Linked DNA regions of Drosophila melanogaster. The main gene of each other region encodes a partner of the protein of the gene in region 2 in a complex. Each region holds a gene or a part of one and is shown on either strand. Other genes may lie near its edges. The genes, in order: GatB and GatC.

Region 1 (4,932 bases), on a different chromosome or scaffold from region 2:
TGATGGCTTAGATGGAGATCGTTATCGCAGTGCTCAGATGCACGCAGAGAAGCTTCTTGACGCCAGGGAGCAGTCGCATCGGCAACAAGTGCTGCGCCTGGAGAACCAGGTTGGTTATCCTATGCAAATTTGAAGGTATAAGATCTATTTCAACTCCCTCACTTTACAGATCTCAATGCTGCGCGAGCAGTTGGCCCAGGAGGCCAAACGGCGACAGCAGTACATTCTACGCAGCTCGAAGGCCAATAGAGAAATGCAGCATCTGAGGAGCACCCTAGGAGATTCCCTGCGCAATGTCTCCCAGCACCCGGTGGATCCCCATCTCTTGGAAAGCGAGAGCCGGCGGTGAGTTGCATGCCCTTATTTGTTCTTCCAAAACTAAATTACATTATACATTTCAGTCTCGACTCGGCCGTTTCAATGAGCCTGCCACCGTCGAGCTGCCGGGACTATGATCGCGATTAGAGTGATGTGAAGTTAAGATTTGGTTAAATTTGATCCCGCCAAGAAGACGTAACGCTCACTGCCATTTGCATTTATTTAGAAAAAGGCTTCCTGGAGTCCTCCAGACGCATCTGAGTTAATCATCACGTGCATTTCAACTCGTTTGCCTTAGTACAATTCTAGCTGTTCATTGTCTGCCCTGTTAGACAATCGAATATAGTGCGTTCCATCCAGTCGCAGCGATGATGCCATCCTTACATCTCCACATAAATATCTATGCATTAATGGGTCACGAGTTCCGATTCTCCCTGAACGTGGGAGAACACCGAACTATATATCACACGACAATTAACATCATTTGCATTTACACATTGGCCAGAACACCGAACTAGTCAGCACGAAACAAAGCAACTATATTTAATACTTAGCATATTTAATCCTATATACAGTGCGGTTTGTCGACTGCATTTTTATAAAATATATACAAGCGAAACACACTCCTAATGAACACAACTATCGACCAGATCTCTTACTTATTGGTGGGTTTTAGCAGCTTTTCCAGACGCTGCACTACCAGCTTCATGTTGGCCTTTTGGGACGACAGTTTGGCAACTTCGCCTGCGATCGCGAACAAAGCTTTTGCCTTGCCTTTCTGGTACTGTTCGACTGCCTTGGCCTGGTTGGCGATAGCCAGCTGGCACAGGTTCTCGATCTCGTCCGGACTGCAGATTTGCTGCAGGCTGTGCAGTTCGATTAGCTGTGATGGGAAGATAATGTGTGTAATCTCATAAATTTGGAATATTAGGCGAAGCTTACCTCACTGACTTTCGCTTTGGGGTTATTATGAAGCAGATCAACCAGCTGACGTGCTGCCTGGAGATTTATCAGCTCGGCATGCAAGCTCATTAATATATCTTTCAAATCATCAGCCTTAATGGAGCTACATTAGGATGAACACAATAAATTAGTAAAATTCATTAGGTATGTTACTCCCTATTATTACCAATCCTCCACATCTAAGTTCAATTTGTTGCAATAGGTCAACAAATCGTTTATAAGAAAATTGCAAATGACTTTGTTGGGCAAATCACTTAAACTACGGGTAATGCTCAAGAAATGATCCAGCAGAATAGGTTCGTTCTGAAATAAAATCGAGGAGTGTTGCAATTTCAAATTTTTTGTTGACTCAAAAAGGATCAGAGCACGCACCACTAAAATGATGGCAGTTTCCGCATTCAGGTTGTGCTGCTCCACCAAACGTTGCCTGGTGTCCTCTGGTAATTCTGGAATTTCCTCGCTTAGAGCAGCCACTGAAAGTAAATCCTCTGTTGACATTGATCCAGGCTTTAGGTTTACATGAAGGGGTGGTAGATTCGGCTCCGGCATGAATCTGTAGTCCTGCAGCACCTCTTTGTCACGCATGGCCACTGTGCGCCGGTTCTCCGCATCCCAGTTGCGAGTCTCATTTGTAATTACACCGCCATTAGCCACAGTTTCTAGCTGTCTATTAATTTCATACGTAATTGCTTGCGAAATGCTTCGAACCGAGCCAATGTTTTTTACTTCGGTGCGGACTCCCAAGGGATCGCCTTCTTGGTGAATGGATATGTTGGCATCCACACGCAGGGCGCCCTCTACAATAAAAAATACTCGGTTTAAAAAAAGGCACACAAATCCCTTTTGACTCACCTTCCATTTTACAACTGCATGTCTGCAGACGCCTTAGTATCAGTATTAATTCCTTGACCAGCGATGCCGCTTCTTCGCCCGTTTCTAAATCTGGTGCAAAAACCAGCTCCATTAGAGGAAGTCCAGCACGATTAAGGTCAACCAGGCTCCTTTTGAGATAATCATCGTGCAGAGATTTACCACTATCCTGTTCCAATTGCAACTGCAGTAGTTTGGCGGTCTTGTAGTAAACTTTTTTGCCTGGTGTTATCACGGGGAAAGTCATTTTTCCATCATTGGCCAAAGCGGCGCGCTGCTGCGTGATTTGGTAGCCATTCTGGGGAGGAGAAGTTTATTACTTATAAGGCTTAGCGTGGTGTAAACTGAAATTTGAATCTTACAGGCAAATCTGCATAGAAGTAGTGCTTGCGGTCAAACATGGACACTTCGTTCACCCGACATCCCAAAGCAAGTGATGTCTTAATGCCGGATTCCACACATTTTCTGTTGAGAACCTAAAAGCAGAGGATACAATGTAATGATGGCGTCTTAAGTGAGAGTACCTATTCTCACTGGCAATGTTCCCGGTATGGAGGCATCAAAATACGCCACCGAAGAGTTAAGTGGTGCTCCAAAGGATGTGCCACTGCCGGAAAACAGTTTGGACGCACTGGCAATCTGTGCGTGCACCTCCAAACCCACAACGCTTTTCCATTTCCTGAAATTCAGAGCGTTGGAATGAATCCTTATAATATTAATTCACATAATTACCTTTTGGGAACGTTGGCTAGCTTTGGCGCCGTTACCAGTTTTCGGATTATTGAGTAATGCATTATTTTACATCGATTATAACATTCGCACCGGAATTGGCAAAAAGTTGCGCCAAAACAGCTGATGTTGTTTTGATTGCGGCCAAAGCTGCCGGACATTCGCCAGCGGCGTTGCCAGACAAAACCATCGATTGGCTGGCGATAACAGCGCAAGAGGAATATCACAAAAAAATAACCTTTTCATTTTCAAGACAAACATGTAAAAAAATATGAGTTTAGCAGAGGTAAGCATTTTAAATGTGCACTCCACAACCGAAACAATAGTGCAGTGCATCGAACGCAGTGGGAATTTCAATGCCAACCCTTGTTCTCCAGTTCACAGCGACCAAGACGAGAAAAAGCACACGCAGCTCTGCAAAAGACAACCACGACGACGAGTGAGTGGAGTAGAAGGACCAGGAGCGGAGTAGCAGGAGCAGGAACAGTCGACCGAGGGCGGGCGGAAAAATCAATCATAGCGACAGGAAACCAATAAAGCCGCCGTCATGGTGATTGAGAAGATCATTGGTGACCTGGAGTCCAACATGACGCTGGAGAACGAGGAGGCCAAGCGCAAGCTTGTGGAGTTGCTATCCCAGAGTGAGTCCTCGCCAGTTTCAGTTAATATGCCACCTATTCCAACATACCATTTCCCCACAGACAAGGAGCAGTGGGTGGTAAAGTTCATGCTGGACTACTTCTTTACAACTGGATCTCAGCGCATTTTGGAGGTACTGGTCAAAGCCCAGGCACCTCACGATGGGTACATCTTTGACAAGCTGGACGACTGCCTAAAGCAGTCGCAGCACCGAGTGCAGAGCCTCCAGGTGTTCTGCTTCATTGTGCGCCATCACCCTACTTGGCTGTACAAGATCGAGAAACACCGGCTGATCAAAAGTGTTTTTAAGCTTATGACGGTGAGTTTATGGGTGTTTACAATTTTGTCCGAGTTCAGCATCACTTCCATTTCTCTGACAGCACGAGAAGGAGATAGTTCCGCTGATGAGCGCCCTGTTGTGCATAATTACTCTGCTGCCGATCATACCGAATTCTGTGCCCAACTTTCTTAACGATCTGTTTGAGGTGTTCGGGCATTTGGCCTCGTGGAAGCTGCAGAATAGCAATAAACTGCCGGACGAGAAGCTCGTCCACCTGCAGTTGGGTCTACAGATGCTATTTCACCGCCTGTACGGCATGTATCCGTGCAGCTTTATTGCCTATTTAGTGGAGTTCATCAAGCGAGGCAACGGCGGGGGCATCTTCCAGCATACAATCAAGCCGCTGTTGAACACTGTGCGAGTGCATCCCATGCTGGTGACGGCCACGCCAGAGACTGAGGTAAACAATACGCGATGGAAGGAGATGGAGCCGCATGACGTGGTTATGGAGTGCGCCAACCTATCGCTGCCCGTCCTCTTGCCCGAGACGAGCAACGAAGACGGCAGCTATGCGTATCCCATGACGCCAGGATACAGTCGCATGACTTCAAATACCTCGAATACGGACTACAGCTATCAGCTGAGGGAGTTTCAGCAATCGAGAAATGTCTACACCCGCTTCGATTCGTTTGCCTCGGGTGATGATGTGGGTCCGATCTGGAGTCCGCATAACGAGATTGCCACGACCAGTAGCGGCATACCGCTTACACCCACCACATCGTTTATTTTGCCACTACAACCGGCTATGAACTCTCAGCTTATGGTTGGCATGACTGGCTCCTCACCGCCCGAAGCAGCTGTGGAGGCCACACCGGAAACCACCCCCTTAAAGGATATGAGGGATATCAAGCAGCCGGGACGTGCGGTCAATTCGCATGCTGTGAGAGCTATCTTCGCCGTAAGCCAGCCTTCTTCACCCATGCGCAAGGACCAGCAGAGTCAGTTCAGTTTCCCGGATGTCTCTCGCGAGGCGGAGGAGAGCAGCCACTCATATCTGGAGGTCAACAGAGGAACTGCCTATGACCGTCGCCTGTCGCAGGTCATCCAGGACAGGCATAACGTGGAGCGATCTG
Region 2 (4,183 bases):
AAGACTTCTACAACAACTATCTGAATCTCTTTCTGAGCGTCTTTTACAAAGCCTGTCGCGATGTTCCAGAGCTCCAGCTGACCGCCAGGAAGTGTCTGTCCACATACTTGGAGCCTGTACTCGACGGCACTGTGGATGCCACGGACATCTCCCGGCTTTGGCGGCATATAGCTGGACCACTGCGTTCCGCCTTAACCCAGATTTATATGCGAATTGAAAAACCCGCGGAAGAAGTTGAAGATTTCACCGCCATAGAAGATCAGAGCGTTCGCAAGCTGGCGCAGTCGCTGGAGCTGCCCTACTATGCCAAATTTCTGTTGATCGCTGCCTTCTTAGCCAGCCACAATGCCGCCAAGCAGGACAAGCGATTGTTCGTCAAGCACCATGGAAAACAGCGAAAGCGGATGCAGACGGTCAACGCCAGAGCCAAGGTGGGTTATTCAATTTTTCGATGACTCCATTTGCTTATTTTAATACCTTTTAGACCACGGAGAAAATGTCCACCACTTTGGGACCCAAATCCTTTAGCATCGATCGTTTGCTGGCCATTTTCTACGCCATTCTAGAGGAGAAAGTCGGTCTGACCTGCAACCTTCTCTCCCAGATCTCAACTTTGGTGCACCTCAATCTACTAAGCTTCGTCTCCGGCGAACAAAACATAATGGAAGGTTCCGCTAGGCTGCAGTGCACCATTGGCTTGGAGTTTGTCCTGCAGATTGGCAAGGTGGTGGGCTTTAATGTCCGCCAATATCTCTGCGACTTTATGTAGCCCCTGGTTGTTTTTTTTAGTTTTTAAATATATTTAATAAATAGTCCGGTACATCGCTTATGTGTATGGTCTCCGCCAGCCTTGTGTCCCGGCTGCGCAACTGCATCAGTCCGTTTCTTAGCGTTTGCTCGTTTATAACAAGTGTATAAGGTATGCCGAGCATATCCGTTTCCAGCAAGTGCTCTGCTAAATGAGAAGCGTTCTTCGTCGTACGAATTCCATCCCCTTCAGAAAGTCTAAGACCGGCGTGGTTGAGAACATGTTTCAGATGCTGACAAAGATCAGACAAGTCAGCAGATAGCTCGGAATCACTTTCCACACAGGCAATTCCACATTGATATGGCGCCAGAACGCGGTGTAAGAGCAGGGATTGCGAGTCCCGGCCATGATCACAGCCATCCAGAAGCAGAGCTAAAGGATAATAATATAGAAAGATTTTCAAAGATAGTTATGATGACCACTTACCGCAGGTGGTAGTTTCCAGCTCTATCACAGACCTTATGACAGTCGGTTGCACAATTTCACCCGTTCGCGCATCGGGCAGCCGGAAGTCTTTGTCGTCCACTATTCTCACCAGGCTCAGTTGCTCCACGGTCACTTCTCCTGCATCACCGTAGCTCGTGCGGATATCGATGGCTTGATAGTCGTTGGGATTGAGATCCTCAGCCAAATCGCAAGGTACGATGCGGTAGCGACTGGGATTCGAGGAAAGACGCATCCACCAGATCTTGCTCTCACGCTGCATGTTGTAGAAGTGCTCCAGTGCGCGATGTGGTTCCACTAGGAAGTCCGTGGTTAAATGTAGCGTAGGACCCTTTATCCCAAATAGGGAATTGCTAGTGGGACCAGAACAAGTGCTTTGATGTTTCAGAAGAGTGGGACATTTGGCCTTTCGAGGATGATCTTTGACGAGTTTTTGGAAATTGTTACGGAATTGCTGGCTTTGTGGAAAGGAAAAACGCTGGATGTTGACTGGATTTATGGGTTCTTTCGTGGCGCCCAGGTGCGCAGCCAAGGGACGTAGTCGTGTCCAATGCTGTTGCAACAGTTTGGCGTATTCCCTTCCATGACTCAGTAGCTCCAGTTTATTGTCTTCCACGGTGCGAAAGAAGCCAGCGGAAGCCAGGGACTTAAAGCATCGTTGTATGCGACTCATTGCTCCAGCGGAATGTTGCCCGGCGGCGAAACGAAGTAGTCCTCGTCCGTCACCTTGGCGTTCCGGAGCACCTCCGCCCGGCAATCGCCTTCGGTCACCTGGTCGTTGCGTAACTGGAGCTGCTGATGCTCCAGGACCGTGTACAGTGGACGCACGTGCTCCGTGTTGATATGGGCAATCTTGTCCGCGAACTGTATGCTGCTCTTTAGCGTGGCCAGCGCTCGTTCGCTATCCAGATCCACCAGCGACAGCCGCTCCAGCAACTGGATGGTTTTCGTGTCGATCTGGATTTCGGAGGCGCTGGTGTCGGGAAACTTCGAGTCCACTGGTGTCTGTGGCACCTTGGTGGGATGCGTTAGCTGCTTGAAGTCCAATTTAGTGGCCTTTTCATTCGATTTTGTTGCAATTTTGCAGTAAAAACGGCTGCTGAACAGACGCAACATTCTCACCAGCACAAAATCAGAGGTGGAACTGAGTTTCGGAACAATCAGCTAAATGTTATCTGAAAAGTATTGTCCTTGCAAAAATGTTGATTTATGTGTTTATTCTATCTTAATTTAAAGCAATTTTCTTGTTATTGTGATCTAGTTTAATTAAACATGTCTCCATCACATTTGTTCAATTTAATATATCCAGCCCTTATTGTTAAAAATCTAGCTATAAATCCGAAACGAGAACAACAATCGATAACGGCACACTTATCGCCGGCTGTTATTGCTGCACTTCCATCGCTTCCTTTTCACTGAGCGGGTTATTTTTTTCGTGACCCTTTAATTTCATCAAAACAAAACCGCAATGCCGTACGCCAACCAGCCGTCCGTGCAGATAACCGAGCTGACGGACGACAACGTAAAGTTCGTCCTGGAGGACACGGAACTGAGTGTGGCCAACAGCCTGCGGCGAGTGTTCATCGCGGAGACGCCGACGCTGGCCATCGACTGGGTGCAACTGGAAGCCAACTCTACGGTGCTCTCGGATGAGTTTTTAGCCCACCGGATCGGTCTGATACCGCTGATCTCCGACGACGTCGTGGAGCGGCTGCAGTACACGCGTGACTGTATCTGCCTGGACTTCTGCCCCGAATGCAGCGTGGAGTTCACCCTGGACGTAAAGTGCAGCGAGGAACAGACGCGCCACGTGACCACCGCCGATCTCAAGTCGAGCAATGCCAAGGTCCTGCCGGTGACGTCCCGCAACCAGGGTGAGGAGGACAACGAGTACGGCGAGAGCAACGATGAGATCCTCATAATTAAGCTGCGCAAGGGGCAGGAGCTGAAGCTGCGCGCCTACGCCAAGAAGGGATTTGGCAAGGAGCACGCCAAGTGGAATCCTACCGCAGGCGTGTGCTTCGAGTATGATCCGGACAACTCCATGCGACACACTCTGTATCCCAAACCTGATGAGTGGCCAAAGAGCGAGCACACCGAACTGGAGGACGACCAGTACGAGGCGCCCTACAACTGGGAAGCCAAGCCAAACAAGTTCTTCTTCAACGTCGAATCCGCCGGTGCCCTTAAGCCTGAGAACATTGTGGTCATGGGTGTGCAGGTGCTGAAGAACAAGCTGTCAAACCTGCAGACGCAACTCAGCCACGAGTCCCAAAACGATGCATTGGCCGTTTGATTTACATATAACAAGTTTATTTTAAGTTTATAAAAGATGTTCCGCCTAATCCTTGAACAAGCTGTCTATGTTAATGCCCACGTTCGCTTCCTTTTTTCCCTTGGGAGCAGGTGGTGCTGGTGACGACGTGATTTGCTGGCTCACCACAGCCTCCTTGAAGTCGCTCAGCAGCTGGGACTTGGATTCCGAATCCTGCTCTGGCAGGCATTCCTCTGGGGTAGTCTCCAGGCGGGCCTGCTGGCGCTGCTCCGCCAAAAGATCCAGTGCGGTCTCGTAGATCCTTTGCTCATCCAGGGCTCCTTGTCCTTTCAGGTCCTGGTATATTTGGACAAATTGCTGTGACTGCGTGCTGCGCCTGTGGTCAAACAGGGATATCGTTTCCTGGGGTTTGTTTTCTTTATGCAGCTTTCTGTTGGTGTACAAGATTAGTTCAGTATTGGTATAAGCCCGACTGCAGGTGAAAAACATACGCTCGGACAACATCCTCGGCATAAAATATCTGGCGCACTGGAATCTCAGGCGCGGGTCTGTCGAATCGGGGCTCCAGTTTCGGCGGAAAGGCGGCGTACACATCGTACCAAATGGGTTTATCCTCGGTTTTCATAGCTCCACCGCGTAGGAGGCCCTGAACTCTG

The links.
Region 1: GatC (region 2) and GatB share a complex: the UniProt entries of both Drosophila melanogaster proteins name them as parts of the heterotrimeric GatCAB amidotransferase (AdT) complex.

Annotation. Positions count from the first base shown.
Region 1 is NT_033777.3:24,127,239-24,132,170, forward strand, and holds GatB (Glutamyl-tRNA amidotransferase, subunit B), read right to left. Parts: upstream 3,018-4,932; 5' UTR 2,946-3,017; coding exon 2,884-2,945; intron 2,831-2,883; coding exon 2,686-2,830; intron 2,628-2,685; coding exon 2,514-2,627; intron 2,450-2,513; coding exon 2,134-2,449; intron 2,079-2,133; coding exon 1,654-2,078; intron 1,585-1,653; coding exon 1,448-1,584; intron 1,385-1,447; coding exon 1,261-1,384; intron 1,202-1,260; coding exon 974-1,201; 3' UTR 811-973; downstream 1-810. Other genes in the region: Root (rootletin), read left to right, coding at 1-109, 170-345, 402-465; Tsc1, read left to right, coding at 3,428-3,521, 3,582-3,838, 3,900-4,932. UniProt on the Drosophila melanogaster protein: Allows the formation of correctly charged Gln-tRNA(Gln) through the transamidation of misacylated Glu-tRNA(Gln) in the mitochondria. The reaction takes place in the presence of glutamine and ATP through an activated gamma-phospho-Glu-tRNA(Gln).
Region 2 is NT_033779.5:13,830,704-13,834,886, forward strand, and holds GatC (Glutamyl-tRNA amidotransferase, subunit C), read right to left. Parts: upstream 2,403-4,183; 5' UTR 2,369-2,402; coding exon 1,922-2,368; coding exon of another isoform or gene 1,235-1,921; intron 1,181-1,234; coding exon of another isoform or gene 786-1,180; 3' UTR 779-785; downstream 1-778. Other genes in the region: Orc5 (origin recognition complex subunit 5), read left to right, coding at 1-431, 485-769; PolG2 (DNA polymerase gamma subunit 2), read right to left, coding at 786-1,180, 1,235-1,925; Polr2C (RNA polymerase II subunit C), read left to right, coding at 2,721-3,548; mRpS23 (mitochondrial ribosomal protein S23), read right to left, coding at 3,594-3,957, 4,019-4,180. UniProt on the Drosophila melanogaster protein: Allows the formation of correctly charged Gln-tRNA(Gln) through the transamidation of misacylated Glu-tRNA(Gln) in the mitochondria. The reaction takes place in the presence of glutamine and ATP through an activated gamma-phospho-Glu-tRNA(Gln).